Linked DNA regions of Arabidopsis thaliana. The protein of the gene in region 1 interacts with the protein of each later gene in a pairwise test. Each region holds a gene or a part of one and is shown in the gene's direction. Other genes may lie near its edges. The genes, in order: NPR4, TGA6 and AT5G22270.

Evidence for each region.
Region 2: the proteins of NPR4 (region 1) and TGA6 interact in a two-hybrid assay, tested with the Arabidopsis thaliana proteins (2 studies listed by BioGRID).
Region 3: the proteins of NPR4 (region 1) and AT5G22270 interact in binary tests that used the Arabidopsis thaliana proteins (3 or more experiments, as listed by UniProt).

What each region holds. Positions count from the first base shown.
Region 1 is NC_003075.7:10,692,375-10,704,228, reverse strand, and holds NPR4 (NPR1-like protein 4), read left to right. Parts: upstream 1-5,436; 5' UTR 5,437-5,985; coding exon 5,986-6,504; intron 6,505-6,595; coding exon 6,596-7,334; intron 7,335-7,415; coding exon 7,416-7,963; downstream 7,964-11,854. Other genes in the region: IRT2 (iron regulated transporter 2), read right to left, coding at 1-150, 248-844; AT4G19670 (RING/U-box superfamily protein), read left to right, coding at 2,887-3,309, 3,412-4,178, 4,438-4,846; AT4G19650 (Mitochondrial transcription termination factor family protein), read right to left, coding at 9,063-10,841. UniProt on the Arabidopsis thaliana protein: Salicylic acid (SA)-binding substrate-specific adapter of an E3 ubiquitin-protein ligase complex (CUL3-RBX1-BTB) which mediates the ubiquitination and subsequent proteasomal degradation of NPR1 in the absence of SA.
Region 2 is NC_003074.8:3,901,086-3,912,273, forward strand, and holds TGA6 (TGACG motif-binding factor 6), read left to right. Parts: upstream 1-5,265; coding exon 5,266-5,331; exon of another isoform or gene 5,332-5,365; coding exon 5,366-5,440; exon of another isoform or gene 5,441-5,487; coding exon of another isoform or gene 5,488-5,535; coding exon 5,536-5,607; intron 5,608-5,698; coding exon 5,699-5,758; intron 5,759-5,882; coding exon 5,883-5,960; intron 5,961-6,293; coding exon 6,294-6,345; exon of another isoform or gene 6,346-6,594; intron 6,595-6,634; coding exon 6,635-6,906; exon of another isoform or gene 6,907-6,980; coding exon 6,981-7,226; intron 7,227-7,351; coding exon 7,352-7,498; downstream 7,499-11,188. Other genes in the region: scpl14 (serine carboxypeptidase-like 14), read right to left, coding at 78-200, 286-362, 445-590, 664-794; SCPL15 (serine carboxypeptidase-like 15), read right to left, coding at 1,351-1,431, 1,526-1,571, 1,662-1,775, 1,870-1,988, 2,063-2,134, 2,243-2,311, 2,401-2,487, 2,589-2,690 and 6 more; AT3G12260 (LYR family of Fe/S cluster biogenesis protein), read right to left, coding at 8,167-8,349, 9,034-9,252; PRMT3 (protein arginine methyltransferase 3), read left to right, coding at 9,557-9,874, 9,955-10,422, 10,538-10,635, 10,868-10,946, 11,031-11,188.
Region 3 is NC_003076.8:7,368,229-7,378,250, reverse strand, and holds AT5G22270 (uncharacterized protein), read left to right. Parts: upstream 1-4,991; 5' UTR 4,992-5,210; intron 5,211-5,434; 5' UTR 5,435-5,482; coding exon 5,483-5,764; 3' UTR 5,765-6,142; downstream 6,143-10,022. Other genes in the region: NAC089 (NAC domain containing protein 89), read left to right, coding at 753-954, 1,135-1,388, 1,555-1,785, 1,872-2,207; AT5G22280 (peptidyl-prolyl cis-trans isomerase G), read left to right, coding at 3,139-3,294, 3,725-3,979; MS1 (RING/FYVE/PHD zinc finger superfamily protein), read left to right, coding at 8,059-8,371, 8,684-8,966, 9,122-10,022. UniProt on the Arabidopsis thaliana protein: Involved in ethylene-dependent salt stress responses by reducing reactive oxygen species (ROS) accumulation.

The sequences.
Region 1 (11,854 bases):
CTGGAGGATGCAGCCACCAAGACCTATGCCTTCGAACAAGTGATGGAAGCAAAGAGCTATGATGAGTCCTTTAATGGTACATGAATCATTAGTTGCTCCTAGAGATAGTCCAATGACCACAGAATGAAATAAAATGCCAACCTCCAATACCTATTCATGGTATTCAAAAATAGCTTGAGTATGGTTATACATATTAATTTATGATTTGAACTCAAGACCGTTTTGTAGTATTTTCATATGTACTAACCATGGCAATGACTTGGTAGCGCAAAAGCTGTCCATCATCTTTAGTTGCTAGCACTACACCATGACCGTGACTATGATTGTGGCCTACCATGTGAATCGCTTTCTCTTGATCAATGCCATACTCTTCATCAGGCACTGGTCCGACTGAGTTCTTACCGGTATAAAGGCTGGTGGTAATGGAGTCAATGGCTAGAGTGACTAGACCGGACATCATAGCGACAAAACCCGCAAAAGGGAACTTATGCCACGGATTATCACTAAGACATTTCGATGACAACATCTCGAAAGAGTCAGGCAAGACGTGCATGAAACCGGTTCCAAGGATGATTCCAGAAGAAAAACATTTGACGATCATGAAACCATTGCCATCGGGACGGAGGAACGAAATGTAACGGCTGAAAAGAGGAGAGGTCACGCCTATCAAGCTTGTTGTAAGTATGGCAACAATGGCTACGATTTTGAGTGGTAAAGCCTTAGCTTTGTTGATGCACGGGTTATCAAAGCCGCTATCACAATGTTCCGGGGCCGTTGAGATCGCCGGAGATACGGTGAAGGTGAATAGGATGAGGAGAATGTAGACGAGCTTGGTAGTAGCCATTAGTATTGAGATTGTTTTATAATATATGATGTTTGAATTTTTGATGAGATAAATTGTTTTGTCTTTGGTTGTCTTATATAGAAGATTTGCCGGCTTGTTCTCGGTGCTGCTGATTTGGAAAGTCAAGTTATGACTAAATCAATAGAAAAAAGATTACACTAGAGAATCGGAATCCTGATTTTATTGATTGTGTATGTACATTATCAGATAGAAAAAGGTTTTAAATTGTATTTTATATTATCCTATAGTTTTGTTTAATCGAAGAGAAGCCTGGAAGGTGTGGATCATGCCAAACGATACATGAAATGTCGTATTATTTTACTGTCAAAATGTATTGCTAAATTGGTTTAATGTTGAATTAAAATTGAACTACCGACATCGCTGAATTGAATATGTTACAATTTACAAACTGTTAAAAAACTACAAAATTTGTCGTTTTCTTTGTCATATCCATTGGTAATATATCGTTATTTCCTACTTCAAAATTTGTTTATGTTTTCATTATTAGCAAATTAGGAATTACTAATTAGTTGTGTTCAAAGGAAAAATCTGAGTAGGCCATCTATTGATATTGGGCCACATTGATATGTCTCAGTAGGCCCATATATTACAAATTAAAATTAGAAATGATGTACAAGATTCAAATGAGAAGTGTTATTCAAATTAGAAATGATGTTCAATTGTTTGTTCTGTGTTTGCTCCATTTATTTGGTTAATTCATTAGTAATCGCATTTGTTCTGTTTATTTCCTCTGTTAATTACTGTTTCTTCAGATGCCACAAACACTGCAATAAAAGATAAGTCCATGTTCACATTTCCCATTTGAATTAAGATTATAAACAATTAAGCTAATGATTGCTGTCTCCATTTTCAAACTTCCTGCTGCCATAAACTGTCCTCGAGTGTCTTCTATTGCAGAAATACAATTATTAAAAATTTCATTTTTGTACTTCTTTTTGCTAACTTTATTCAAAGGGAATATAACTATTGGATGTTAAAAGTCAGAGAAAGATTTTTTTTTAATGAAGTTACAGCTTTTTTTCTCAATGAGAGGAGACAAAGTCCATGTGCTAACTTTGGTTTCTTAAGCTATAATTCTTCATGCTCAGGTTCTAATCCAATTCCATTATTACAGTTTCAATTATTTAAACTATATATTTTAAATTAAATACTTGATGATTAGTAATGTGAAAATAATTATTTCATTGTGGGAAAATATAAAACATTGTACAGTACGAGAATGACAGCAAAGTGAAGCCAAAAACTCAGAAAAATAAAATAAATTAATAAATAAAAAAAGAGAGAATAAAGAAACAAAACAAAAAAAAGTAAAACTTTTCTCTTACGCCATTCGAAGAGAGAGCAAAACCAGAAGAACCGATGATTCTTCTTCTTCTTCTTCTTCTCTCCACAAAAACTCAGTAGAAACATCCAAAACAATGCGTTTATTTTCTTTTTTTTCCTGGAAAAAAACAGAGATTTTGAAGATGTTATTATAGCTTAGAGTTTTCTTCTTAATTTTAGTTTCCAAGTGTAAATCTCCTTCCACTGGTAAGAAAGCTTCTGGATTTCTGTTCTTGCTTAATGATACTTTAATTTCAACCGATCTCGTTTTATTACAAAATCTCTGGTGATTTCTGCTACTTAAATAAATTAGAATTTTTTTCTTCCTTGAAATATGTAATAATTGAGGGTCTGGTTGGTGTTTAGTGGGTCAACAAATCGAGCTGCTTCTTTTGTTATCTTCTGTGTACTTTCAAATGATTTGGTCTCTGATTTATGCTGATCTGTTTATGTAACTTCATCAAGCTTAGCTGTTTTGTTGATCTGTAATGCAAAGTTCATTTTTTTTGTTCCCTTTCCTCTCTCTCTCAGTATATGGTATAATTGAGATTAGATGATATCTAAAAGAATTAGCTTTATCTCATTTTTATTCGGTTTTGTTTCATGAAATTTGCAGATCCGATATGGGTTTCATTGGTGTGTTGCTAAGTTAAGAAAGTTTGTACCTTTTTGTAGTTTAGATAGGTTTGTTTCCAGACATGGAAAATCAAGAGGATTCTTGTGAATGTGAGGAGCTTCCATTGAATCACTTAGGAGATGAGGAAGAGTTTAGAAGTTGTTGTGGTGATGAAGAACTTTGGTTAAAGGGTAGTGATGATATAGCTAAAGTTGTAGAGGAGGAGAAAAAAGATGATCTTGATGATGAGTTCTCTGTTAAGATGGTCTTTAAAGGAGTCTCGATATTCGAAAGAGGAGATTTGGGTTCTGGTTATTCGGGAATTGGTGTTGTGTTGGAGAGGTCAGGAGATTTGGAGTTGATTCAGGTTCAGAAGAAGTTGGATTTTTATGTCGAAGAGTCTGTAGCTAACTATTTAGCTCTTATGGATGGTCTTGAAGTAGCTTTACAGAACAATCTCAGCTCTGTGGTTGCTGTAACCGACTCCGAGTTGCTCTATAATCAGGTAAAGTCTCTCTTCTTTAGCTTGTTGAAGAGACTTGCTTTCATATGGTTTTGTATCTCTTTGTAGGTTTGAGCTCACGTTTTATATGAATTGACTTTGCAGATAACTCGTGAGGAGCAGCTCGAGATCCCTCTTTTAGTAGCTCTGAGAGAAAGGGTATTGGAGAAAACAAGTAACCTTAATGGGTTTGTTCTAAAGCTTGCTCCTTTCTGTGATCTTGATGAAGCTCTAAGCTTGGCTCAAGTAGCGGTAGGAATCGTGTCTTCTAATCTTGATGGGGATAAACCGATCGAGAACTGCTCGATCTGCTGTGAAGACCGTCAGTCTGAGATGATGCTATCATTGAAATGCACTCACAAATTCTGTTCGCACTGCATGAAAACGTACGTTGAAGGGAAAGTAAAGACTTCAGAGGTTCCCATCAGGTGTCCTCAAGTGCAATGCAAGCATTATCTCTCAGCAGCGGAATGCAAATCGTTCCTTCCCGTCACTACTTTCAAATCATTCGAGGAAGCAAATGTGTGTAGTAAAAACAATGGGAAGATTTACTGCCCATATCCCAATTGCTCTTTTCTGTTAGACCCGCAAGAATGTCTATCATCAGGAAGGGCTAGCTCAAGCTCGTCTACTCAGTCAGAGAATAGCTGCTGTGTGGAGTGTCCAGTCTGTGAGAGGTTTGTGTGTGTGGACTGTGGTGTTCCTTGGCATGCTTCTATGAGCTGTGAAGAGTTTCAGATTCTTCCAGTTGATGAAAGATACCCAGATGATATTACATTGCATCGCTTGGCAAGGTATAAGAGGTGGAGGCGGTGTCAGCAATGCCGTATAATGATCGAGCTTGCTCAAGGCTGCAACCACATGACTTGCCGGTAAGACACACATATATATCTATGGCTACACATTGTTTTCCGTATCTATACATATTTGAACCACCAAAGTTAGGTTTTTGACTTCCAATAAAATATAGTTAGTCTTGACCCTTTAACTGCAGAATCACGGTATCGTAATAACCATATGATTCTAAGGTTTTTTTTTTCTCGCCTACGTTTAAATCTAGTATTCTAGAGCAAGTGTTTCTTTTGCGATTCTTACGCATATAAATGTCAAAACTCTCTGTGTTTTCCGCAGATGCGGGCATGAGTTTTGCTACTCGTGTGGAGCAGAGTACAGAGAAGGGCAACAGACTTGCACGTGTGCTTTTTGGGACGATGATGAAGAAGAACAAGAAAACGCAGTAGAGGAAAACACAATTCAAGAAGTTGAGCAATGGCCTTGGGACACATTTAACTCAATTCCAACTGTAATGGACGCGTACTCAGAGCAAGAAAGATCTCAGCTTGCTCTGATCCAAAGGTTCTTAGCAGGTGGAGGGTTTAGTCTCAGTGATCACCATACTACTTATCAGTCACCGCCGCCTCCATGTACAGAGTCATCATATGTTGAAGCCGCAATGAAAGATCTTCATCAGCTTCCTTGGCTTGAGAGGTTTGTGTCTGTTATAAGTGATGATTACTATGAAGAGTATAATAGCCAGTGAAAGTAGTAGAATTGTAATTTAATAGCCTTGAGGATCCGGCTTGGTTTGGTTCAGAGAGGCCAAACGAGAGTATCTCACTCTCGAAAGTAATTGTTGGGAGGGTTTTAGATTCTTGATGAACTCAAACAAACGAATTGTGATGAAACTATTTGCAATTATAAGAAGAAGAGTTTGCTCATCTCCATTCTACAAATCCTGCAAGAAAGATTAACACTCTTTTATATTCAGTGTTATGTTATGATATTTAATCTACCAAAATTTGGTTGAAGAACTAATCAAAATGAACTTGGTTAGCATCATCATATATATACCAACTACCAAGTAAAGAAAAAGTTTGATAAATTCAATTATTCATGCTCTTCAAATAAAATACAGAACCCATTAAAAAGGGTCCACTTATCATCAATCTACTCTTGCATTATCTTGAGTTTTTGTGTAGACATAACATAACCCATTTTATAAGTTATGACCTTATTAGAAAGGGTCCACTTATCATCAATCTACTTAGCATTTTGTGTATATTTCTCAAAGCTGACGTTATTTAAGACGTCATAGACCCACTTCACCACAACTCAAGTCGTCTTCAATTGCTGACGACATTGCTTACGGTTTTTGAATCGTCGTCACAAAATTTAGGAGATTGGATTAGGAATTGGCTCTTTCTTTACTATTCTCCAAAGACTTTACTATTTGGTCAGTCTTCTTATTTCTCACCTTTAGCTTTTAGATAAACCTCTGATTTTTTTCTCCCATCTGTTCTGAGATTGTCTTCTTCTTCTTGAAATCTTTTTCATTTGTGCAATGATTTTGAAGACTACCCATCTATTCAGTTCTTTCTCTTATGATTTAAGTTTCATTTAGTTTTTTTTTCTCATCCGCCATTTTCGTTGACTTTTTGAAGCATTTCTCGAATTGACTTTGTTCTTCACATTGATTCATTAGAATGTTCTTTCATAAAGTTTGGATCTTTTCTTCAGGGCTTGATTAATTTCATATCTATGATCTTCTCTGTATTGTTTTTGATCCAATCACTTCTCAAAATTTGATCCTTGTCATTGGATTTAGATTTAGGGTTTTTGTATCCTTGGGGATTTGAAGATCAAAAACAGAGTCTTTGAGTGATACTTCTGGGGAACAAAATGGCTGCAACTGCAATAGAGCCATCTTCATCTATAAGTTTCACATCTTCTCACTTATCAAACCCTTCTCCTGTTGTTACTACTTATCACTCAGCTGCTAATCTTGAAGAGCTCAGCTCTAACTTGGAGCAGCTTCTCACTAATCCAGATTGCGATTACACTGACGCAGAGATCATCATTGAAGAAGAAGCTAACCCTGTGAGTGTTCATAGATGTGTTTTAGCTGCTAGGAGCAAGTTTTTTCTTGATCTGTTTAAGAAAGATAAAGATAGTAGTGAGAAGAAACCTAAGTATCAAATGAAAGATTTATTACCATATGGAAATGTGGGACGTGAGGCATTTCTGCATTTCTTGAGCTATATCTACACTGGGAGGTTAAAGCCTTTTCCTATCGAGGTTTCAACTTGTGTTGATTCAGTTTGTGCTCATGATTCTTGTAAACCGGCCATTGATTTTGCTGTTGAGTTGATGTATGCTTCATTTGTGTTCCAAATCCCGGATCTTGTTTCGTCATTTCAGGTTTGAGATAAAGTTTCTTTGTGATTTTGCTGGTAAATAATCTGTTCTTGATTGGTCAAGGCTGTAATGTTGTGTGTTGTTGTGTCTGCAGCGGAAGCTTCGTAACTATGTTGAGAAGTCACTAGTAGAGAATGTTCTTCCTATCCTCTTAGTTGCGTTTCATTGTGATTTGACACAGCTTCTTGATCAATGCATTGAGAGAGTGGCGAGATCAGACTTAGACAGATTCTGTATCGAAAAGGAGCTTCCTTTAGAAGTATTGGAAAAAATCAAACAGCTTCGAGTTAAGTCGGTGAACATACCCGAGGTGGAGGATAAATCGATAGAGAGAACAGGGAAAGTACTCAAGGCATTGGATTCAGATGATGTAGAACTCGTGAAGCTTCTTTTGACTGAGTCAGATATAACTCTAGACCAAGCCAATGGTCTACATTATGCAGTGGCATACAGTGATCCGAAAGTTGTGACACAGGTTCTTGATCTAGATATGGCTGATGTTAATTTCAGAAATTCCAGGGGGTATACGGTTCTTCATATTGCTGCTATGCGTAGAGAGCCAACAATTATCATACCACTTATTCAAAAAGGAGCTAATGCTTCAGATTTCACGTTTGATGGACGCAGTGCGGTAAATATATGTAGGAGACTCACTAGGCCGAAAGATTATCATACCAAAACCTCAAGGAAAGAACCTAGTAAATACCGCTTATGCATCGATATCTTGGAAAGGGAAATTAGAAGGAATCCATTGGTTAGTGGGGATACACCCACTTGTTCCCATTCGATGCCCGAGGATCTCCAAATGAGGTTGTTATACTTAGAAAAGCGAGGTATTGACCTAGTCGATATATATATTTCTCATAGCTTAAGGTTGATGTCTCTTTATTGAATTCTTGTATGTGTCATTGCAGTGGGACTTGCTCAGTTGTTCTTCCCAGCAGAAGCCAATGTGGCTATGGACGTTGCTAATGTTGAAGGGACAAGCGAGTGCACAGGTCTTCTAACTCCACCTCCATCAAATGATACAACTGAAAACTTGGGTAAAGTCGATTTAAATGAAACGCCTTATGTGCAAACGAAAAGAATGCTTACACGTATGAAAGCCCTCATGAAAACAGGTAAAAGCTTAAGGAAATGTACTTTCAAGTTTTATTCTCTGACCACAAGATTGACTGATTCGAAACCGTTCAACAACGCAGTTGAGACAGGTCGGAGATACTTCCCATCTTGTTATGAGGTTCTGGATAAGTACATGGATCAGTATATGGACGAAGAAATCCCTGATATGTCGTATCCCGAGAAAGGCACTGTGAAAGAGAGAAGACAGAAGAGGATGAGATATAACGAGCTGAAGAACGACGTTAAAAAAGCATATAGCAAAGACAAAGTCGCGCGGTCTTGTCTTTCTTCTTCATCACCAGCTTCTTCTCTTAGAGAAGCCTTAGAGAATCCAACATGATCTTGTCCCAGATAAGTAATGCTACTAGAGATAGTTCCTTGGAAGAAATTAGCTATTTTATAGGTTTTGGTTTAGAAAACAGTGGAGATCCCATTTTGGTATTCAGGTTTATTACATGGTTTAGGTTTGATTTTGTATTAAAGGAGATGGATTTTTGAAATGTATAAAGCAAAACCTTTCCTTTTTGCTTTGCTTCTTTCTTTAGTCAGAAAATTGTAATATATGGAAGTGAAATCGAAGCAACGATTGAGCAGAACGAGAAGCACAAGAAAAATGTTAAGCTAGTTAAAAGATTTTCAAGCTTCTTGCAAGAGAATTACTAAACAGGCACTTTCTCAGGGGAAAGATCCTCGTGTTGAATTAATCTCAATACCAAAATCTAAGCCTGCTTCTGATAGCAAAACAGGAACTAGAGAATAGAGATAGTTCCTTTGAAAAGATTGAAGATCCCATTTTGGCTTTAGGTTCAATTTGTATTACAAGGGATTTTGATTTTTAAAATGTGTAAAGGAAAAATATGATGCTCTGAATCCAAATCATTTAGAACATATTGCTTGCTTATTTGGTCAGAAAATTCTACTACTTGGATTTATGTCTTCAATTGTTACAAAAATATTTGCTTTCCTTTAGACCTGAACTGAAGCAGTCAATTACATAACACAAGCTAACTATTACTAAAGAGTATATGAATCACATGAGAGATCTTTCAGTAACCTGTAACAGACTCTGGACAAATCATCAGTACTGTCTCCTTCGAATGTTATGCGTGTCCATCTGTTTGTTTACAGGACAGATGTTGCAGGACAGATGTTGTAGGACGGCTAAGGAGGAATATTCCAACAAACAATTTGCAGATCTTCTCAGTACTATCTAAAGAATATTTCCAATGAATTCACGCAACATTTTAGATCTGCATCAAATCTGTAACTCAGCACATACTTCATTTGCTCTTTCACAAGCATCGGCTAACACTAATGGATCTCTCTGTTCCGGAATTCTCCAAACTCTTCCTTTTGATTCATTAGGTGGCATTGATATCAAAAACCCTTCACTGTCTCAGTTGTACTAAATTCAAGAAATAGTGCCAATAACCTTAACTTCAGGTAGATGATTGGTTTATACTTTCCCAAATGGCTGGACCTTCAGGGTGGACATTGACAAAATACTTCACAAACCGGGCATCACCGCAAGTGAGAATAGTGCTTGGTGACAGCATTGGCTTTGCTGCATCTCTTTCCCTCAACCATAAATACATTGAGAATCTGTGATGTATCCTCTGCATATCATAACACAGATATGCCGGGAACCTTACCAATGATTCAATTGGATAGCCAAGAAGTTCGGTTAAGGAATGTATCTTTTTCTCTATGACATCTTTAGACAGGTTAAGTATCATCGGAGCATGCCTGATGATCTCAGTAACCACATTATAGTTTAAACCGGCTTTCACAAGGCAATCAAATCTCTCCTGTAGCTGATCTCCCCTCCCTCGAAACTGTTTTAGAGCCTTCACCATCTCATCCGAGTTTTCTACATACCCTAGCCTCAACAAAAACTCTGTCTTCTCTAAGTATTTCCTCGAGTCTTCCGAAAGAGGTTTGCTTTTTCTCTTCTTCGTTGTAGAAACAAAACAAAACAATCTCAAAGGCTCTTTCTTTAAGATCTTACATAGCTCGTCTTGTTTAACATTCAAACTAAGACAAGCAGTTCTAGGTGCTGGCAGAGAGCATGAACCAATAAGCTCCATATGACTCAGCAAAATCTTCGTGATAAACTGCGTTTCCATTCTAATAGCAATCAAGAAATCCAACGTCTTCTGAATATTTTTCACGCATTTGTCTGACAACATCTCTGGATTGTCTATAAATAGCCTATAAATCTCATTCACTTGAAGCCCCGCTTTAAACAACCTACCAAACAGAACATAGAATTTCTTTCCGGAGCCTTCGATTACCAAAGCTGGATACGTTTTCAAAAGACTACTCAACTTCTCCTCTTTACATCCCACTTTATCAAGAAACTCTATTGTCTCCAGAATTCTGCGCCAGCTATATGTTTTCCGGTCAGACAAGTACCGCCCAAGCCAATCACATCCTACTTGTAACCCTTTCAACTTATCAACTACAGAAGAAAACTCAGCATCAATCCCACCAACCAGTAGCAAAGGGCAACTAGTAACTAACTTAATAACTGTAGCCTTACTAAGACCCAAATTCTCATAACCCCTTAGCTTCATCGCCAACATCCCAGATTCATATCTAAAAATCTCTCTCGCTTCTTTATACATACGGCCAATCTTACCACGCGGGATCCCATAGTTGCAAAGAGCATGAAAGTTCTCAAACATGATACCATCATCACTCAAAAACATTAGCTTCCGTGGAAGAAACGTTTCAAACTCATAAGGACACAAACCCAAACTCTCGAAAAACGGTTCAAACTCGTTTATCGGATTGTACCTAAGGAACTTAGTCAATCCCTTGGATACATCTTTCTGATTATCATCAATCTTAGACAACAAAGTCGACATAAAACAAGGAGAATTCTTACTTATATGCTCTGCATCAGTAAAAGTAAAGCTTCTAGTATAATGCAAGTAATCAAAAAGAGCTTCTTGAGCTTGATTCCTACTAGCCCTTGATACCGGATTAACGAAAAACCTAGTTGGTAAGTGAGACGAGTGTTGTTGTAACTTAGATTTATCCTGACGAACACAGCTTTCAATCTGAAAACTCCGAAATGGAACTGAAACACGAGAAAGGTCGAACCTTTGAACTGGGTTTTGACGAGGAATAGATGAGAAAGTTATACAGTAGTTGAGATTTGAAATCATATTCAACAGTTTATGAACTCTTCTCTGATTTCTGGATAATAACATCGCAACCTAACAACAAAGAGAAACAGGTGAAAGTCACAATCAAATAGAGAGCTATGAAGAATTCTCAATGCTTACTCTTTCAAGTAAGAAATTTACCTGAAATTAGGGCTTATTAAGCATTTGAATCAACCATTTTCCCAAGATTCTTAGGGTTCATAGCCAAATCTCAGTTACTTTGCTTAAACCTTGTTCTGGCTTCAAATTAAGGTGGAAATTTCAGAGAAGCCCCTAAACGTTTATAATATATCCGAAACGACCATAATCTTATTTTTCTATACTTCAATATGTGCCTAAGAGTTTCCGAAATATCATAAAGGTACCAATTAGTGCATCATCAACACTTGGCCTTAAAAGACTTGACGTGAGATATTATTATTCCTCTTTTGATACCGAATTAATAGACTTGTCAAGTTTAGACTTGTCAAAAGTGATAAACATATCACACGAAATCGTGTTATTATCACGAGCGTTACAAATTCTTCAAGTATATCACTATAAAACGACTTCAAAACCCAACCAAGTGGTGATTTCTTTGAGCTGACTATATGTATGCAAGATAAAGGCAGCAAGAAACGGTGAGTTTTCTTCACGAGCATAAATGGTTTGTTCGTCTTTCTGATTTTTGATTTTATAGATATGTAACTTTTTTATTAGGTCAATTTCAAGTGGTCCATGGTAGATTCAATTCATGTTAGGTCATCATCTTCAAGCTAAAACGCCTACCAAACATATAATAACAAGTATTCTTTTAATCACTAGTTTTAGTTTCAAAATATTTCTGACTATCTTAAGTGCATTTAGATTTTAGTTCAACATGATGGAAAAAGATAACTTGACTCTTGTTTAACTTGCATATGTTTTGTTTGACTATTTGTTATGTTTGAGAGGAATGATTTTTCTTTGTAAAACAGCTTTATATAAAACTTGTGGCTTACTCGGATGAATTTTATATTTGTTTTGATTATTTTTCAAATGTTGTTTTTTTCAAAACCTTTTGACAGTAAATTACAATA
Region 2 (11,188 bases), on another chromosome or scaffold:
CCAACAAATAACGAAATCTCCAAAAGTCAATGCATAATTAAAGATAGATGCTTTGAGTTTGATACTTTGATCTTTACCTTACGAACAAACTCGTTGACCAGCTTAGCTGATCCTGTGTCACTTGGTCTATCAGCAAATGGATTTCTTGAGTAGGAGAAGCCTGCCCCAACAGGTTGATCTAAATAGATTATATTCGCAACCTGAAAAGGAGCAATGATTCTTAAACTTGAAGATGAAACATTAAGATTTCATTGAGTTTGTTATCATGAATAAAATTTCTCTAACCTTTGTCCATGAATATGTAGTAGAGACCAACGTGGGGATACTTCCATTGTACGCCTCAACCTTGAAACCAAGAGGCCCTAATTTTTTTTATTTCAATTCAAACAAGTCACTTAATATTCTGCAGACGAAAATCAGAAAGTGTTAAAGAAGATTCATTACCGTTCTCATAAACAAGACCAGTGAAAGAAGAGCAACCAGGTCCTCCACTTAGCCAGACAAGAAGAGGATCTTCTTCTGGATTGCTCTCAGATTTAATGAAGTAGTAGAACATTTGATCTTCATCTTCATCACCAACACCAATGTACCTGAATGATTTAACTCCAAAACTTAGAGAACACAGAGTCATACATCATAAGGCTAATATGAAGAGGAACAAACCCGGTTTCGAGCTCGAAGGGAAGAGGGCCTTCAAAACCAGGAAGATATTTGATGATAGAACTTGAATCAGCATGCTTAGTCAACAGAAGCACAAGTTGCAGCAGCAGCAACTTCGGTATCCATGAACCCATTCTGTTTTTTCTTAAGTTTTTGAGTTTTATGAAAAAACATCTTTTATCTTCAAAAATCAAAACAGAGACGTTGACACAAACAAAAATCTTTTAGTCTTTGTTTAGTTTAATATCTGTTAGTCTTTGTTTAATTTGACATCTTTTAGTCTTTGTCTAATTTGTTCCGTCTGCAACTGGTTAAAGGATAGAAAACTAGGTTTTTGAACGTGGAAGGGACAAATTCGCGTGTAAAGTGCTTTGAAGTTTGCACATGGGACAAAGCCGGACAAAGACAAATCAATTTTTGAACTTCATTAAACATTTATAATTGTTAAGGTTATTGACATCTCTGTATAAGTTTTAAGTGATCATAATATACTTTTTAGCAGGTAGGAGTTAAAAGGTGCATTCTTTTGATCAAAGTGCTAGAAAAAACCCACGAGTAGTTACGTAGACAAAAAATTGTTTTTTTATATATTTTCTTCTAGATTATAATGCAACATTGACTTCAGATGGGAATACTATATCAAACCAAACACTTTGGGCTTCAACATCAATAAGATCACTCCAAGTGTGTTTAAAGAGGTTGACCACTTATCCACCTCTTGAACAAGACTGAGTTCTCCTCTGGTTTATATTCCAATGTGTGCCCACCTCCCTATAATAAACCAAACCCACAAACCAATTAATAAACTGGTGTAAACAAGCTTTGCATTTTTGTTTGACATATAAATGTGGATAAAAGAACATACTTTCACAGTGGCAAGTGTCATCTTATTGGCATAAGTCTTGGTGTATCTGCAAATAACAAAAGTTTGATTTCGTCGGATGAGAAGCTTATATACAACAAAAAAAGAAGATGTAAAAGAAATGGTTATATATATATACCCGGCGACTTGGTCGAGTATCATCCAAGGTCTCCATTTTTCAGTAATGGAATAGTTGAGAGATCTTATCCATGCTTGAGTTCCAAGGAAAGGGATTGTCATATCGTGATCACCGCTATTCAACAGAAACACCATACCAGAAAAAAAAGCTTACAAAAAAACAAATCAATGAAAGCAAAAAGCTTGTAAAGAAGTTTATTATTGTGTACCTAATGACTAGAGATCGATATCCTCTGATGCTGTTATTGATATGGAATGGTATGCTGCTTTTGATGTCTTGGTTGCTAAGCACTCTATAATCGCATCGTTCCCATGTCCCTTTACTCCCCTGAGATCAAAATCTTCTTAGAGTTTGATCAACAGATATTTTACCAATGATCTTATCAAAAACTTGTCATATACCTTCACAACTTTGAGTGCTCTGCGGACAGTCTCGTTATCAGCCCAATATTCAGATAGCAAATACCGATACGTCTGCAAAAAGCAACCATGTCAATATTCTTCTCTAATGGTTAGTTAAGTGGTTTGCCATTGATCGAAATATAAACAGAGAGATACAACATACAAGTTGGAATCACTTACATAACAATCAGGAGATGTGTGCTCGCATTTTGATTTTAGAATAAGTTCTTCATATATTCCAGAAACACACTGTAAATAAATATAACCACAAATTCTAAGTTAGTTATTTTCTTTTTTTATATCATTCACGCCGACTAAATTGCAGATTGTGTGTAAACCTTGTCATAATCTTCGATGAGTTTCAAGCATTCTGTGTTAAGAGGATCTACAACACTGTAGCTTCCTCCACAACTTGCCTTCAACGACTACAAAGTAAAAAGAGATTTGAACTGGTTTTTCAACTACTTTGTTGTGGTGACAGGAGACAAACTATACAATATATCCTAAGTCATATATGTAATTGTACCTCAAAGAGTTCATCAGAGATGAGTGCTACTCCATGAGCAAATGGAATGCGAAAGTCTTTATCATGATCATAGTATGCTACCGGGTTTCCGATCACATAGCCCTGTTTTTTGGTGGTGTGCAAACAAATAGCTCTTTAATTATAATGTTCAATATTGGAAATAATGTAAGAAGCAAGCATATATATAGTAATGAACCTGAAGATTTATTTGAGGTTTGCAGCATATATAGTTTCCTGTGGTAAAATAAATGATCAAGAAACTAGAATCAAAGTAAAGGGCTTGCATATATAGGGGTTGAAGTGATAAAAACTTACCATTTGAGATTTCTTGAACGATGGCCGGAATCACCTTACCGGAATAAGAATTTCCAGTGACATAGAAAGGATTGGAGAAATACTCAGGATGCTTAGCTAGCCACTGCACAACAAATCACCAACAATAATAACGAAATCTCCAAAAGTCAATGCAGAAAGACAGATGCTTTGAGTTTTGGCCTTTACCTTACGAACAAACTCGTTGACCCGCTTAACTGATCCTGTGTCACTTGGTATATCAGCAAATGGATTTCTTGAGTAGGAGAAGCCAGTCCCAACAGGCTGATCCAAATATATTATGTTCGCCACCTGAGAAGAACCAATGGTCTTAAAACTTGAAGATGAAGAAGAGTTTCATTAGTTGGGTTTGTAATCAGGAGTACAAAACTGGTGTTTTACCTTAGTCCATGAATATGTGGTAGAAACCAACGTCGGTACACTTCCATTGTAAGTCTCAACCTTGAAAGCAAGTGGCCCTGATTTTTGTTTTTCAATTCAAACAAGTTACTGAATAGTATGCAGAGACGACAAATGAGAAAGAGTTAAGAGATTTTTATTTTACCATTCTCATAAACAAGACCAGAGAAAGAAGAGCAGCCAGGTCCTCCAGTTAACCAGACAAGAAGAGGGTCTTCTTCTGGATTGTTCTCAGATTTGATGAAGTAGTAGAACAGTTGATCTTCCTCTTTTTGACCAACACCAATATACCTTCATTATGTAACTCTAAAACTCAGAACACAGCGTCATACATACATTATAGGGGTAATATGGAAATGAAAATGCAGAGGAAAAGAACCCGGTTTCGAGCTCGAATGGAAGAGGGCCTTCAAAACCAGGAAGATATCTGATGATAGAACTTGAATCAGCATGTTGAATCAACACAAGCACACATTGCAGCAGCAGCAGCAACTTGAATATCCAGGAAGCCATTCTTGTTTTAGTTTTTGAGTTTTAACATTTTTTATATATACTCAAAACTCAAAAGCAGAGGCGTTGACCCAAAACAAAGATGGAATCTTTTCGGTTGAGTATGGTTCTATAAACCGGTCAATTGCAATATCTATACCCGAGACAATTCGGGTTAGTCTCTCTAACCAGTTCCAATTAATCTGTTTAGTTTTCCTTTGGATGTAAAGGTGTTTAGAGTTTGTTTTCTCCTTCAATTACCAACTGCCAACTGGTTAACGAATTGAAATTGAGGGTTTGAGCTGAAAACACTTGGGCACTTGACGTGAGAATGTACGTGGAAGGCCAGAAGGGACAAAGTCCCATGTAAAATGCTTTGCAGGTTATTTTATTGCACATGACATAGGACAAATTATTGTTTAATGATTTCAGCATTGCCTAGAAAACCGGACCGGTTGACAGTTTGAACCGGTTCAATAAATTTGTATGGGGTAATATTTGTAAAGCTAAGACTATAGAGTTCGTTAGGGGTAACAAGAATAGTATGGGGGGTTAGTTTGCAAATTCCCGTTAAATTTGTCGATGTTTCTTTTTGGGATGGTGGGTTTGTAGACAAATCGACGTCTCAGAGATTGTAATTACGGATCGTGTCTCTGCTGCTTCTTCTTCTTTCAATCCGATTTCGGACAACCTTTTACTCAGACAGGAGATTTCAGTTTTTTTCAGGTGAGCTTCTTGCTTTCTGCAACTCAAGCTCTTTTGTTTTTTGGGTTTTGTTTCTTTCCTTTTTCTTTTCTTTTTCTTTTGTTTGAAGTTTCCTCCTTCTTTGTTTTACTTTAGTCATTGGAAAGCTTACTTTTTCTCACTTTGTGATTTGCCTTTGGAAATTAAGACTTAGTTGACTTTCAGAAGCTTATAAAGTTTCAAGTTTTTTTTGTTCATTTGATGACGTTTTCAGCAACCAAATTCCATCGAATTATCTTGATGAATCCTTATGGATTTCAAATGTTAGTATGCTTTGAATTTCATGTGTCTGTTGAATTCTGTTAAGAGTCATAGATTTTGAATCCTTGGTGATGAGTTATTGGTTTGAGTGATCAGCTGCTATAAGCTTAGTTCTCGCTTGTGTTATAAGCTTAGTTCTCGCTTGTGTTAGATTTTGAATCCGCTGTTTTGTTTCAGTCCATGTTAGTACTTGAACCGTTGTCTTGCAGTGTGACTTAAGCTGGTTTCCGTGAGCCAATAACTTGATACTTGTGAGTGTGCCCAAATTCCAAACTGATGCAGTTCTCTCTCTCTGCTATCTGTTAATTTCTTTCATAATCATCTTTTCTCTTTCCTCTTGGCAGCTTTTCCTCCCTCTAGTGTGAAACTCTGCACCAGAGGTGAAAGGTTATCATTGCAAAAGGGAGCACAAGTGGATAGTGTTTGCTCAAGTATTAGTACAGAAACTAGTATGGCTGATACCAGTTCAAGGACTGATGTCTCAACTGATGGTGACACAGATCATAGAGATCTGGGGGTTAGCTCGTAATCTGGCTCTAATCATTTTATAGTTTTATTATCTCTACAATGTCACTCCTGGGAGGCTTGTACCGGAATCCCTTGGTAAAACTTGGGGCATTCTACCGGTATAGCCAAATCCACAGGACTAGTCATTTGCTTATGTTCATCAAACATGCATAGTTTGAATGAAACAGTAATTCCTGATGTTGATTACATGCAGTCTGATAGAGGGCATATGCATGCTGCTGCCTCTGATTCCAGTGATCGATCAAAGGATAAGTTGGATCAAAAGGTGATAGATTCATCTCTGTGGATCAACTAGCATCTGTGTATATTACGCATATGCATAATCTGTTTTGTTTCCTTTTCGTTTTGATCCATAGACCCTTCGTAGGCTTGCTCAAAATCGTGAGGCAGCAAGAAAAAGCAGATTGAGGAAGAAGGTATGTATATTTTGCTTTTGTTCTTGTTTTGATTTTTCTTATATATTCCTCTTATTTCCTTGTAATATCTCTAGAAGAATATCTATCTGTCATTACCTTAAGCATGTTATTGTTTCCTCCATAGGCGTATGTTCAGCAGCTGGAGAATAGTCGATTAAAGCTGACTCAACTTGAGCAGGAGCTGCAAAGAGCAAGACAGCAGGTTTATTAACTTTCTTATTTGTTTTGATTCTGATATGTATGTCTTTATAAAGAAGATAAAAGGCTGAAGCTACTTCAACTTATAACTAACAGTCAGTTACGAGTTAGTACTAGTCTTGGGTTAGCTGAAGTAGAGGAGGTAACAGAATTATGGGTCATCCATAGTTTAGTTGGGTAAAAGTAGCTGGTAACTCTCTCGAAATAGGTCCTTCTGGTCTGTTTATTCGGATGTTGATGGCATACAGAGAATTTCTATTCTGGTTCTTATCAGATTCTTTGTCATGACTCATGACAGTGTATTTGTCACTTAAGGATATATATTTTTCAATTTTAGGGAGTTTTCATCTCAAGTTCAGGAGACCAAGCTCATTCTACTGGTGGCAATGGTGGGTTGTTTCTTCTCTGTTAGTTTTGAGATTGATCCTTTTGATTTGAAATTTCTATGTGAGATAAGTGCATATATACATATATGTTGATGAATTGGTGATAGCATAAGTCATCTCATGGCAATATGCTTACACTTGTTAGAGTTAATGGTTTCAAGAGTCAGTGATGATCTGGATGGGAAATTAAAGTCATGGTGATGTCAAAACTGAAGTTTCTTATAGTTTGCGCTGGTGTTAGCTTAGGTCTGCAAGGGTTTGTTCTTGATCTAGTATACTTGCCTTTCTGCAGGGGCTTTGGCATTTGATGCAGAACACTCACGATGGCTTGAAGAAAAGAACAGGCAAATGAACGAGCTGAGATCTGCCCTGAATGCTCATGCAGGTGATACTGAGCTCCGGATAATTGTGGATGGAGTGATGGCTCACTATGAGGAGCTTTTCAGGATTAAGAGCAATGCAGCTAAGAATGATGTCTTCCACTTGTTATCTGGAATGTGGAAAACACCAGCTGAGCGATGTTTCTTGTGGCTTGGCGGGTTCCGCTCATCCGAACTTCTCAAGGTAAGCTCTTTCCAAGTCCATAGAGAGATTTTGATGAACAGCCAACTTAATGAGTCGCAGTGTTTTCACAACAGCTTCTTGCGAATCAGCTAGAGCCCATGACAGAACGACAGGTAATGGGCATCAATAGCTTGCAGCAGACGTCGCAGCAGGCAGAAGATGCTTTATCTCAAGGGATGGAGAGTTTACAGCAATCCCTAGCTGATACTTTATCCAGTGGAACTCTTGGTTCCAGTTCATCGGATAATGTCGCGAGCTACATGGGTCAGATGGCCATGGCAATGGGGCAGTTAGGCACCCTCGAAGGATTCATACGCCAGGTACTTTAGAAATGTGGATGTTATCGAGATATACCATATCTTTTCATCGTCACAAAGAGATAAATATTTTATTTTATATATGAATCCGTCTGTTATGGAGTTCATAGGGCATTTCTTGGTGGCAGGCTGATAACTTGAGGCTGCAAACACTACAACAGATGCTTCGAGTATTAACAACACGTCAGTCAGCTCGTGCTCTTCTTGCTATACACGATTATTCATCTCGATTACGTGCTCTTAGTTCCTTGTGGCTTGCCCGGCCAAGAGAGTGAAACAGAAGAATAGTGCTCTACTCAGCAGTCAGCCCTATACATAATCTTATGACTCAGATCGGCAGGGATACTCCTTCCAAGAGATCGATCACAAAGCAAGGCATTCTCAGATTCTTACCAAAAGCAATATTTTGGGAAAGAAGACTGCAGGTTTTGAAATTGGTTTCCTGAGGTCCGCAAGACTCGAGTGTTGTGTGTGTTGTAATTTTTAGCCATCAGGTTGCATAGTTTTATAGAGTGAATGTTTATAGGTCTTTGAATATTCAAAGCGGATAGGTGATCAGTGTAAGGTCGCAATTACCAACATGACAGAAGATGGGATCCTTTCAGGAACTTGGATTGTATGATCATAAACTCCAGCAGACCAAATCAATTTATATTGAGAGTTCAAAAAAGAGAGCAGATTGTGTATCTTGAAATCATAGCAAGATTGCCCAGTAAACACTGTCACACATAAAGCTTACAGAGGTTTGGCTAATACTATGTATAACCAACCTGAGTCAGAGAAAATACTCATACAAATGAAAAGATCTAATTATTTCCAGGAAGAAGACTTCTTCCAAATGTCGAGAATACAATACTGGCAAGACATATGCAAACTTGAGCAAGAACTGAAGCAGCATAAACAGTACAGCTTATGTGAAACTCGAAAAGTAAACATCACCAGTTCAAAAGTAGTTGCTGGTGTAGAAATTCTTGAGAAAATCAGTCTTTCCTTGATCCTTGTTTCCAGTATTCTGCACGAGCCCTTCACCCACCACATATTGACCGATGATGTGGTGACGCTGCTTTGCGTGATCCACAATGTCAGTCAGCTCTTCCATTCCTTTGAATATAAGAAGATCAATTACCTGCAGAAGCAAGACCACCATCAGATTGCATTCTAAAATCACCTTAAAAGAGAACCAATCCGAGATCACTACACCCACACTCAAGGAGATGCTTTGAATTGATGGTTCAAAATACAAACAACTAACCATTCACCACATAAGCAAATCTTAACTTTGGTACCAAATGCCAACAATGCTGTCATACTACGAGAAAGAACACCATTTTGATATGAAGTATATAATTTTGTAGCAGGTTTACTGTATCGACGACAACAGACTCATCTATGAAAGAAAACAAATGCAAAGAAGAAAGGAACACAGCTTTAGCAGGATGTAACCGGTAAAGCTCCCACCTTTTCGCTCCAAGTAAATCTTCACCAAGCACCCAATTCACAAGACACTTTTTTGTTCATAAGATAAGACTACCAAGAAATTAAAAGTCTCCGCTCACATAAACTACTTGCACAAATTCTACACGATAGAAGGTGTAAGCTTTCAGCTTTCAACAACACTCAAACAAAGCTGACAATAAATCCAAGCCAAAAGTGGAATAGAAAGCAGATACGATCAGATTAACAAATATAAAACAGCTCATTGTTTGGTAGCCAACCAAGACGCATTAGCCAAACAAGGAAAATGCTTTCAATTTCGCCATCGCATAGGACCTGGGTCCGTATTAATCAGAGTTAAATTAAGGGAAAGTACCTTAGGATCGGTGATGTGAGCGTTATTCCGAATCTGAGCAGAGATAGCATAGCGGAGCTGAGAAGGAGCGACGACATCTTGAAGATTGTAAATGTCCATGATGGTGGGGATAGATCTACAGGCAGCTCTAAAGAAATCGAAAACACGGCGGCGAGCTTCCGTCAGGTTCGCCGAGTTCGGAGGAACACCGATTTTCCTCAACGCGAATGGTGCCGCCATTTTGATCTACGAAATCGAAAAATTTCACCTTCCTGCCTGAGATTAAAAGAGAAATGAGTAGCCGAATAGAGAAACAAACATCTGACTATCTGATTGCTTCCAGAGTTATCTGACGACGTCGTTTCGAAGTGAGTGGCTAATGGGCTTTTTATGGGCCTAAGCTGATGTAGAGAATAGCCGTAATTATTTCCGGTTAGTTTCGGTTTACAAAAAAGGGTAAGAAGGTAATTGTTTTTCTATCCCGCCGGGGTGTCTCCGCTTTCTTAAACCTCTCTCTTAAGAACTTGGCGCCGTTATCTTTCTCATGGCGGCGACAATGGTGAAGCACGAGATTCTCAACTACAGCGAGGATGAAGAAGAAAATTACTCAGACGAAGGAGATTGGGGAGACTGGAAAGCTGATGATAATGGTATAGAAGGAGGAGAGGAGGAGGAGGAGGATGATGGTGACGACTCGGAATCTGATTTTCTGTGTTTGTTTTGTGATTCTCACTTCGTTTCCTGTGATTTACTCTTCGAACACTGTCGTCTAAGCCACGGATTCGACTTTCATGGAGTTAGAAAGGAATTGAAGCTCGATTTCTACTCTTCTTTTAAGCTCATCAACTATATTCGCTCACAGGTTTGTGTTTTTGCTTCCTTCGTTTTTGGTTTCTCTAATTTTATTGTTTTTGTTTAAATTTGGTTCCTTTAATGAATTAGGTGGCTGAGAACATGTGTTTCAGTTGGAAGATTGAAGCTGATGATTACAAAGATGTTAAGTTTCCTTGGGATGAAGAGAAGTATCTGAAGCCTTTTTGGCAGGAGGATTCACTTTTGTACTCGTTTGCAGATGATGAGGAAGATGAAGAAGTCACGTTTGACAGAGAGGAAGTGATGGAGGAATTGCAGAAGCTTGGGGATTTAAGCATTGATGTCGAGGCTTTAGGGGAAAGCTCAATGTCGAACAGTGATAAATGCAATATAAATGGAAGTAAGGATGTAACTTCGCTCTCAAACTGCAATGGCCTAAAGCAAAGTTCTGCGGATGATTTGATAGTCAATGGGAAAGATGCAGAACCAAAGGTTTGTGATGGAAGGCTAGTTAATAGGAACATCAGAAAGGTGAATGAGAACTATTTTGGATCTTATAGTTCGTTTGGCATTCACAGGGAGATGCTAAGTGATAAGGTAATGCACTAATCTTTTCTGGAATTGTGTCATAATTAACTAACCTGCACTTGCACCATATGAAGAAAGACTATCAGCTGTCAGGTTTATTCAATGTGTCTGATGTCTGTAACAGGTTAGAACAGAAGCATACCGAGATGCACTTTTGAAGAATCCTACTCTCTTGAATGGCTCTGTTGTAATGGATGTTGGTTGTGGAACTGGGATATTGAGGTGAGTTTGCAGTTATCTTTCTCACTCTATATTGGCCATCTCATTTAGGTTTCTTCTCATTCTCTAAACGAAGCTTTAAACATGTGGTTCTATTTGCTTCTTTTATTTCATATTCTGAAGGCTTCCTTGAATTTCTCTTGCCTATATGCAGATCCTTTGATTGTTTAAGTCAAACTTTTGGTACTTCTTATTTTTAGTTTGCATGCAATAACCATTTATCCTTTGTCTGCAGTCTTTTTGCTGCTAAAGCTGGGGCTTCAAGGGTAGTTGCAGTTGAAGCTAGTGAGAAGATGGCCAAAGTTGCAACTAAGGTTACCTTTTTTTCTACTTGTTACAAGATTTTCATTATTTCTTTTTTCCTCATAGATATCAATTATTTACCTGGTTTCTAGCAGATTGCGAAGGATAACAAAGTATTCAATGATAACGAGCATAATGGGGTACTTGAAGTTGCACACTCAATGGTAGAAGAGCTAGATAAATCGATACAGATTCAGCCTCATAGTGTTGATGTGTTAGTCAGCGAATGGATGGGATACTGCCTTTTATATGA
Region 3 (10,022 bases), on another chromosome or scaffold:
CGTAATTTGTAACCCCATTTCATCATGGAAACAACAATAAAGTTCACTCATACATTTCGTTTTCCCTGTCGTACCTTGACACAGAAACATAGTCCACAGATTTTACTACTAATACTATTTCGAAGACGTACGAGGTTTTACGGAGGGAGATTTGCGAAAATTCACCTTTCTTGTTTAGCTTTTTTGAACATGAGTTTTTGATTAAACTTAACTATATGGAAAGTCTTGTGGAGCAGTTGAAATCCATCAAGAAGGATAAGTTTTCTTGTAATGATAAGTGGTTAACCCTTAAGCTTCAAATCAACAAAAACTTTGAGGTAACGCTTGTTGATTACGAGATCCTGAACAAGATATTTTGGGATATATAATTGTGAGCGATTGATCGATAGTAAGATTTCGGATATATATTGGGACTTTATCTGAAAACACTAAACAATAAGTCGTAAATTGGGAGTACGTAAAAACATTAAGGGTCTAAATGAAATAAAACCTATAATATAACTAGGTTTAGTGACGTGGCATGCACACGTAGATTAAGCAATGCCTTGGCAACACGTATGCAAAAACCCATATGTGTGCACCTGTGAAGTGTTCCAATAACAATTCAAAAGCTCCCTGAGCAAGTGAGAAGAGACCACACTGAGAAGAAAAATCCTTCAGGTTATCGAAAATTCCCGGATTTTACTCTTTGGGCGGTGGCCGATTTCTTACGCGCTCTTTTTGTGGCGACTGTTGTATACGCGCGAGCCTTCATGGACACGAAGGCGGTTGGAGTTTCTAAGGATACGGCGGCGTCGATGGAAGCGTCGACGGTGTTTCCTGGGTTTAAATTCTCGCCGACGGATGTGGAGTTGATTTCGTATTACCTGAAGCGGAAGATGGATGGCTTGGAGAGGTCCGTTGAGGTTATACCGGACCTTGAGATTTACAATTTCGAGCCTTGGGATTTACCCGGTTTGTCTTCGAATTCGAACCAATTGATTCTTTTGTGTCTTTCTTCTACTTGGAATTTGATTTTGTTGTTCTTCAGGCTTCAGGAGAGATCTCTATTTTGGGTGCCTAAGATATAAAGTTTCTATTTTTTGGCTCTTGGATTGGAATTGACAATTTTTTTTGTGTGTTTGTTCTTTGCAGATAAGTCGATTGTGAAATCTGATAGCGAGTGGTTCTTCTTCTGTGCGCGTGGGAAAAAGTATCCACATGGTTCACAGAACAGGAGAGCAACGAAGATGGGATACTGGAAAGCAACTGGGAAAGAGCGTGATGTGAAGTCTGGTTCTGAGGTCATTGGAACAAAGAGGACGCTTGTTTTCCATATTGGTCGTGCACCAAAAGGCGAAAGAACTGACTGGATTATGCACGAGTACTGCGTGAAAGGAGTATCTCTGGTAAAACTGTTCTCGAGAGTTTGTTTTTTCTTATAGATTAATTGTTAACCATTACATAAGAGGTGGTGACTTTGGCTACTTTTTGAGTCTCTAAGAGGAATACAGTAAAATTTTAGGAGTTTTGTCTTTGGCTTGAGTTGATTGATTATGTTTATGTAAATTCTAGGATGATGCTATGGTTGTTTGCCGGGTTAGGAGGAACAAAGAATACAATAGTGGTACAAGTCAGAAGGCACCAAAGCCAAATTCATCAGCCGAGAAGCATGCGAAAGTCCAAAATGGCGCTACGAGTTCAGGGAGCCCGTCTGATTGGGACAACTTGGTTGATTTTTACCTAGCAGGTGAATCAGGGGAGAAACTACTCGCTGAGATGGCAGAGTCATCAGAAAATCTACAGGTTTTGTCACCTGGCTTCTAATTGTTGTATGATGGTTCTTGATTGTTGTCGTTCTTCTTAATGAATGTTATGTGTGTGTGGTTTAGGTGGATAATGACGAGGATTTCTTTGCGGATATCCTAAGAGACGAAATCATCAATCTCGATGAAGCGGTGATGACAGGGAACACACCAAACGAAGTGCCAACACTAGAATCAGCATCAATGGAGATAAGGGTACTTCCTTTACCAAACATGATAGACAAACAAATGTCATCACTGTTAGAGGAAAGACCATCACAGAAGAAGAAAGGAAAAGACGCCACGGAATCATTGTCGAGCTGCTTCGTGGGTTTATACTCGATCAAATCAGTGAACAAGGCACGATGGGATGTTATTATAGGTGTAGTGGCTCTGATAGCAATGTTGTTTTATCTAGAATAAGAGGCTTATGGAAGTAGCGAAAAACAGTGTCCTAGCTATGTTTGTATCATCTTTTCTCGGACATTGACAAGGATTATATGATGTTTTTGTGTAAACGGTTTATGTTTTACACTTCTACTTCAAATCTGTGCAACCAAATCAAAACCTGAAATATCAAGCACAGAAGAACTAGTGGATATAGTTTTTACACTTCAAGGCTTATTAAGTGGTGTGTTTAATGAGAATCAGAGAATGGATAAATGATGGGGGCAAATTAGTAAATGACTATTTTCCAAATCCGTACTGTTTATCTTTCTCGTCCAGATGGTTGTTGCACTAAGATTTGTAGAATTTTCTCGCCGCCATTAAACCTCTGCTTTTGTTTCTTTCTCTCTTCTTCTATACGAGAACCCATTTTGGAGAAGTCAAGTTTCCTCAATACTCCGTCAAGCCGATTTTATTGATCTCGATCAGTTTCGTCAATTTTTCCGGTTTAAGAAACCCTAGAAAAGCTGATGATTCGATAATGAAGTTTGATTTCACTGTGATAAATCGATCTGTAAGTTGGAGATACTTAATCGTCTTCGTTATATCTTCTACGATGCTTCAATTTTGCTTTGTTGTGCTGAGGAAATTCAGTTTTTCTGTAGTATGTGTTATTTGCTTATCCTTAGTAAGTTAGTTACATATGAAGGAGATTCGTATTGAAACCCTAGGTCATTGATTTGATGGAGTTGCTTTTTATAGTATCAGCTTACACTGTTTACATTGTTCTACTTTTGGTTTTTAATTAGAAAATTTGAAGTGAGTAGGTGAATTTTAAGTCGCATCGATCTCATTTTCGATATATGTCTCAATTCGATTAGGCGTGGTCTTTGGATGTGTGTTTAGGATGGTATGAAATGGATTGATTGTGAAATTTGGAACAGGTTTTGTAAGAGCTGAATAGAAAATGTCGAGGCCGATCATGCTAGTCTTTCTTCTGGTTATACTTATAGTCACTTCTCAGTTTGAATGGAGGCAACCACTTCTTGAGCTTGATGCAGCTCCTAGCTTGTCTCAGAAACATCAGCAAATTGCAAAGAGGGAAGAAGCTGTCAAGGAGAAGGTACTTACTTCATTCTTAAACTCTTTTTCATTGAAGTTTTGTGTGTTCAGTTGTATGAGAAAGACCTGAGAATTCGTTTTGGGATTGTGACTTATAGATTAGTACAACTGTAGCAGAGATATGCATAATTGGATAGTGTCAGTTAACTTAGAATGCTCTGATGCTTAAGATTCCTATATCTGCTTCACTTGCCTTTTGAGTCAATCTATAACTATGCCTTAGTAGTTGTGTTGTTGACTTTATCCTCGACATTCTAGTCTCATGAGTCTCTGGACAAACATTCTTTGTAACTGGCTTTCATATCTCTATCTTCTTCTTTTTGAGAATGTCTATGGAATCCATCAATGACTGATCTGAGTTTTTAATGTTGCATAGAAATATTCGGGGTTTTTTTGCCTTCTGTTGTGTTTTCCCTGATTGCATCAAATAGATGAGGTTAGTGGAGAAACATAGACTTATTGGTCTTGCAACCTTAAAGTTCCATTGGATGTATGACGAACCTCATAACTTCAGCATAATTTTGAACCTGAAAATAGAAGAAGACCTGTCAATTCTTAGTTTGTTAATCGTTACAGATCATCTTGTCACAAGAGAGACATATCCAGAGGCTAAACGACCTTGTACGAAGTCTTCAAATGCAGTTACAGCGATGCAAAGGAGAGAACGAGACACGAAACGCCACTGAAACCTCCCATAATAACAAACAGTTCATTGAGCTCGAGAGGAAACACATCGTGGAAGACTAGTATTTCCTCCGGTTACATCAATTCTAATAAATAACCCAAATGGTACGTAAAAACTGTTGTAATTTACTTTTGTTGTGTTAAAAACCTTGCTGATGTTTTGATTAGAAGGATGATTTACTTTATTCACGTGTAAGATTGAGATATTTAAGTACTTGTAATAAAAGTTGAGAATTAGGGTACTTGTAATATCTTTAGTTATGGTTGATTGATTCTATCATTGTCGATGTCTTGGTATAGTCAAACTTTGGTTGTGTGTAGTTAGATTTTTACTTTGACTGATGAGGCTAACGAAAGTCTAAGATGACAAAAGCAATCTTATGTCATATTCTTTCCATGATTTCATCACTAGTCAGAGCCTAAATAAATCTCTTATTAGACACCAACCACAACTCCATATTTGTTCTAAGTCAAACAAAACCAAATCTCCCATGAATTTTCACATACTCATTTATTATTCTTCCATTTTACTATTTGGCATTCTAAAAGTCAATAATATTAACAGTCAAAAGCCATTCATCTGTTTTTGGTCAATCTTTCTATCATTTGTTGGCCGTGCGTCTAGCCGTCAAGCTATCCAAATTCATATTCACCAATACTTATCAATTTTTCAACAATAATTTTCGGTTTATTAAAAAAAGTATCATCATATACGACTTTAGAAATCTAATAATATCAACTACCCATTAAACTACAATTTGTTTTTGTCAACACCGATTTTAACTACATTACAACCTTCCAAGTTTGAAACAAATGCATTGTCTACTTCTTCCCTCTCAATTTGAATTTCGATTTTCATACTAATAATATGATGATTTATGAAAATGGACAAAAATATCTCCTTTGTAATTATCCAAATACTATTTGGTAATAAATGCAATTTCAAAGCACAAGTCATATACTCAATCTTTTGCATACTATTATTTTCAAATTACATTTATTGCTTACAAACACCTCATATTATAATTATTTTCTACAAGAATATTTATTTTGAAAGCTAGATGAAACTAATCCTACTAATTCATTAATATACATTCAATGAGACCCTCTCTCATCTTGCGTGTATCTTCTCCTCTATCTATATATATATAACAGCCACTAACATGCAGACATCAAACTATCTCTCTTTAAATCTCAAGAACAAGAACTAAACTACTACTAGTCTTCACCAAGGTAAAGCTACTTTGGAACCCGAGAACCAAGTTAATTTGTTCTCATCGAATTTTTTTTGTTCTCATATGTTGAAATTTTGTTATTGTCATCTTCACTTTTTGATTGATCGATAGAAAAATAAGTATTCAATTGATCAATTCTTTTTATATATATACATGTTTTATAAACCATGGATCTCCATCTAAAGTTTTGTTTTACTGTGTTTCTTATTCTGATTCTTGTAGAATAATATATCAACACACATAGTATACTCTTCTTGGAAGGCAAGGAACATGAATCAAGAAGCTGCGAGTAACCTTGGACTTGATCTGAAACTAAATATTTCACCGTCGTTGGATTCATCTTTGCTCACTGAGAGTTCATCGTCATCGTTATGCTCGGAGGAAGCTGAGGGTGGAGGAGGAGAGGCTAAATCAATGGTGGTCGTTGGCTGCCCTAATTGCATCATGTACATCATCACTTCTTTAGAGAATGACCCTAGATGCCCTAGATGCAACAGCCATGTTTTGCTTGATTTTCTCACAGGAAACCATAGCAAGAAGAGCACTAGTTAAAAAAAAAAATAAAAAAAAAATACATAATATTAAATTAAGGATGTTCTTTTATTTTTCTTTCTTTTTTCTTTTCCTTAATTTGTTGCCACATTTATTGATAGTTTGAATTAATCCACAATGAACGGATATGTTCATAAAATCGAAACCTATATACTTATGTTTTTAAAACATCCTTAACTTCATTTGTAATATTGACTGCTTAACGATGGATAATTCTTGTAGAAAACTAAGCAATATTAATATTGATTCTTTGCAACGGGTGATTACAAAAATTTAAACTTGGATTAATAGCTAGTATAAATGATGGATGTGTCATTGTGTCCTCATCAAAAGGTTACGTATTCGGACTATTGCGATATTTAATTTTATAAATGGAAAATGGTCGTTGTTGACTTGTTATAAGTTCAATGTATATGTACATGGCACAATTAATTATGTTTTTAATATGAAAAATGTGGAACAATGACTTTTTTTTCTTTTCCTTTTTTTGCACTATGTAATTCTAGCGTTAAATGCGAAGTATATACATAAATATATACACATCATACGTCAAACAATAAATAGGTTTGGTTTACTTGTTACCAAAGTTGTTGAACTAACAAATTAAATGTTTATAAAAACATGAAAAAGAGTTATGCTTATTATAAATGTGAAAAATCTTCACCTAAACTTACTATAAAAAAAATGCATGTTGGTTTTACATTAATGTCGGATTCAACATTACGTGTGTTTTGTTCCTTTCCCCAACTATCAAAAGAAACAACACGTATCCTTTAAGTAGATTTCTCACATTTTTATCATTATATTTACCGCTACTGGCAATTTCAATTGGACAAACCAAAACCAAATATATATTTTTTCGCTGACGTAAGACCTATCAAAGAAATCTATCATTCAACCAACAACTATAAAAACGAATCAAAGTCACTTGTTGGCTACTATTCAACTAACAATATAATGTATCGCTGCCTCGCTGGTCGTTGTTACTTGTTACTAAGAATCGTGAAACAAAAATGATACAAAATTATCAACAATTATTCAGTCTACGTACGTATATACCTACTTATACTATTAGTGGCTGTCAAAGTTTAAACTTTAAACACTAAACAAGTGATAGTAGGTCAACATTTTAGTTAGATATGCTTAATATTGATTCAAACTCAAATATTGCAATTGTTAGCATCGGGATTTAACAAGGCATATCATTAATTTTAAAAAAAGATTAAAATTTGATTGGTCTGAACTTTTAACTCTTTTTTTTTACGAAGATTGTAACACTAAAAACATATATTTGAAGCACTGAAGTGACTGTAAGTACCCAAAGTTGTTGTGATCACTGCAATCATTAAGGTGAGTACAATTTTGAATGTAATATATTAACTATTAAGTAAATACCATTGCAATTTGCAAACCACTTTTTCTGAGAACATAATTTGAAACTTTCTTTAAACCGCTAAAAAACATCTATTGATGTAAACACCTTTTTCTATTGATGTAACATATTAATTATGTTTAATTAACAATAACTATGTGGGTTTGAACATATAGTGATGACAAATCATCAACACTATCACAAATCAATAAACTACATATCAATTAAAACATTGATAATCGACTAAATTGAGTTTGTCCAACCACGCAAACACACACGTGTGTGTTATGTAATAGATGCATATATGTGCAGGTAGACATGACAGAAATTGACGGAACACAGAGTTAATCTGATTCTTTAAAAATGTGAGAAGCTCAAATGCATGTCTTCATTATTTTATTATATTATCTTCTCATGTTCCCAAGTCACGTGACATTCCTCACCCTCGATCTTTTTGCATGCCATTTGTCACATATTCTTACACAAATACATGTATATGTATTAAAATTATCAATCCAGTTTCGAATATTACAGAAGTATTTTTAGAAATGAAATTAGATTTGGGAATAAGAAGGGTTTGAATGTTTTTTTGAAAAATAGTTAATTATTTGGCTAAGAAAGAAAAGTTGTTAATGTTACAAGTCATGCACATATCAAGACCTAACATACAATCCAATGGTAACAATTGTTAATTCACAGTTTAATTAACCTTTCTCTTTCTCTCACTCACTTTTCCTTTTCATCACCACAAAGCACTAATTGTGTGACCATCATCTTAATGACTACTATATCTCTAAACCCTTAACACACTTCCTCAACACTTTTCGGTCTCTTCTTATAACAAACCCCATCATAATATATATCCAAATCTATCATATTCCTATTCCCTCTCTTCTCAAGATCAAACCAAATTTCTGATTCGATGGCGAATCTGATTCGAACAGACCATCAGCAACATATTCCAAAGAAGAGGAAGAGAGGGGAAAGTAGAGTTTTTAGGCTGAAGACGTTCGGAGAGTCTGGACATCCAGCTGAGATGAACGAGTTGTCTTTTCGAGATAACCTCGCTAAACTACTTGAGTTTGGTCACTTTGAGAGCTCCGGTCTAATGGGAAGTTGGTCTTTTCAGCTCGAGATTCAACGAAATCCAAATCCTCTCTATGTTCTTCTCTTTGTCGTAGAAGAGCCCATCGAAGCCTCTCTCAATCTCCGTTGCAACCATTGCCAATATGTTGGTGACGTCCTCTCTCTCTTTTCCCTTCTCTCTCTCTGTATACAATTTTTCTTTTGCGTATCTATCTATATATGCATGTGAATACATTCGTATATAACTATATATGACCTAAGATCATAAGCTGAAAATTTAGTAAGAGTTGACCTAGCTAGCTCAACATGTAAGCATTTTTCTTGCATATATATCTATATACAAGCTTACACGTACTTATGAACAAAAATAGCAATAATAATTTAATATATGGTTAAAAGTGATGCATTTATGTAAAGATCAAAAATATATATTATACAATGGTTTATACGGAACCTTGCAGGTTGGGGAAATCAAATGATATGCAACAAGAAGTACCATTTCGTGATCCCCTCAAAGGAAACAATGGCGGCTTTTTTAAAACTGGAAGGTGGAGGCTACGCTTTTCCCGAAAAGGAAAGTTTCTCCCATCTTGTGGAGCTTCAAGGCCATGTCCTTCACGGCTTCTTTCACTCCAACGGATTTGGTCACTTGCTCTCTCTCAACGGCATTGAAACCGGCTCCGACTTAACCGGTCATCAGGTCATGGATTTGTGGGACCGGCTCTGCACCGGTTTAAAGGCCAGGTACTAATTAGACTTTATATATTTGTATATCATATAAACCATTCAACACAATAACCATTCAACACAATTCTGTTAGTTTTCATATCATAATGGATTATTCCTAGCTATTAATTTGGATTTACACATAATGAGTCATTTTATTTTTGTTCATATAGGAAAATAGGGTTGAATGACGCGTCGCACAAAAAAGGAATGGAGTTGAGGCTGCTGCATGGGGTAGCAAAAGGAGAGCCATGGTTCGGTCGTTGGGGCTACCGGTTCGGGTCAGGGACATACGGAGTGACTCAAAAGATTTACGAGAAGGCACTTGAGTCGGTCCGTAACATACCCTTGTGCTTGCTTAACCATCACCTAACCAGCCTTAACCGAGAAACTCCAATCCTCTTGTCAAAGTACCAAAGTTTATCCACCGAGCCATTGATCACTCTCAGTGACCTCTTCAGGTTCATGCTTCATCTCCATTCACGTCTTCCAAGAGATAACTACATGAGTAACTCCCGAAACCAAATCATCTCCATTGATAGTACCAACTGCAGATGGTCTCAAAAACGGATCCAAATGGCTATCAAAGTGGTCATAGAGTCACTGAAAAGAGTCGAATACCGATGGATATCGAGACAAGAAGTGAGGGATGCAGCTAGAAATTACATTGGGGACACTGGTTTGCTTGATTTTGTGTTGAAGTCGCTTGGGAACCAGGTGGTTGGAAACTATTTGGTCCGACGTAGTCTAAATCCGGTGAAGAAAGTGCTAGAGTATTCCTTGGAGGATATATCAAATTTGTTACCAAGTAGTAACAATGAACTCATAACCCTTCAAAACCAAAACTCAATGGGGAAGATGGCGACAAACGGTCACAATAAGATCACAAGAGGTCAAGTTATGAAAGACATGTTTTATTTTTACAAACACATTCTCATGGACTACAAGGGAGTGTTAGGCCCCATAGGAGGTATATTGAACCAAATCGGAATGGCTTCAAGAGCAATCCTCGACGCTAAGTACTTCATCAAAGAGTATCACTACATTAGAGATACATCGGCGAAAACGTTACAC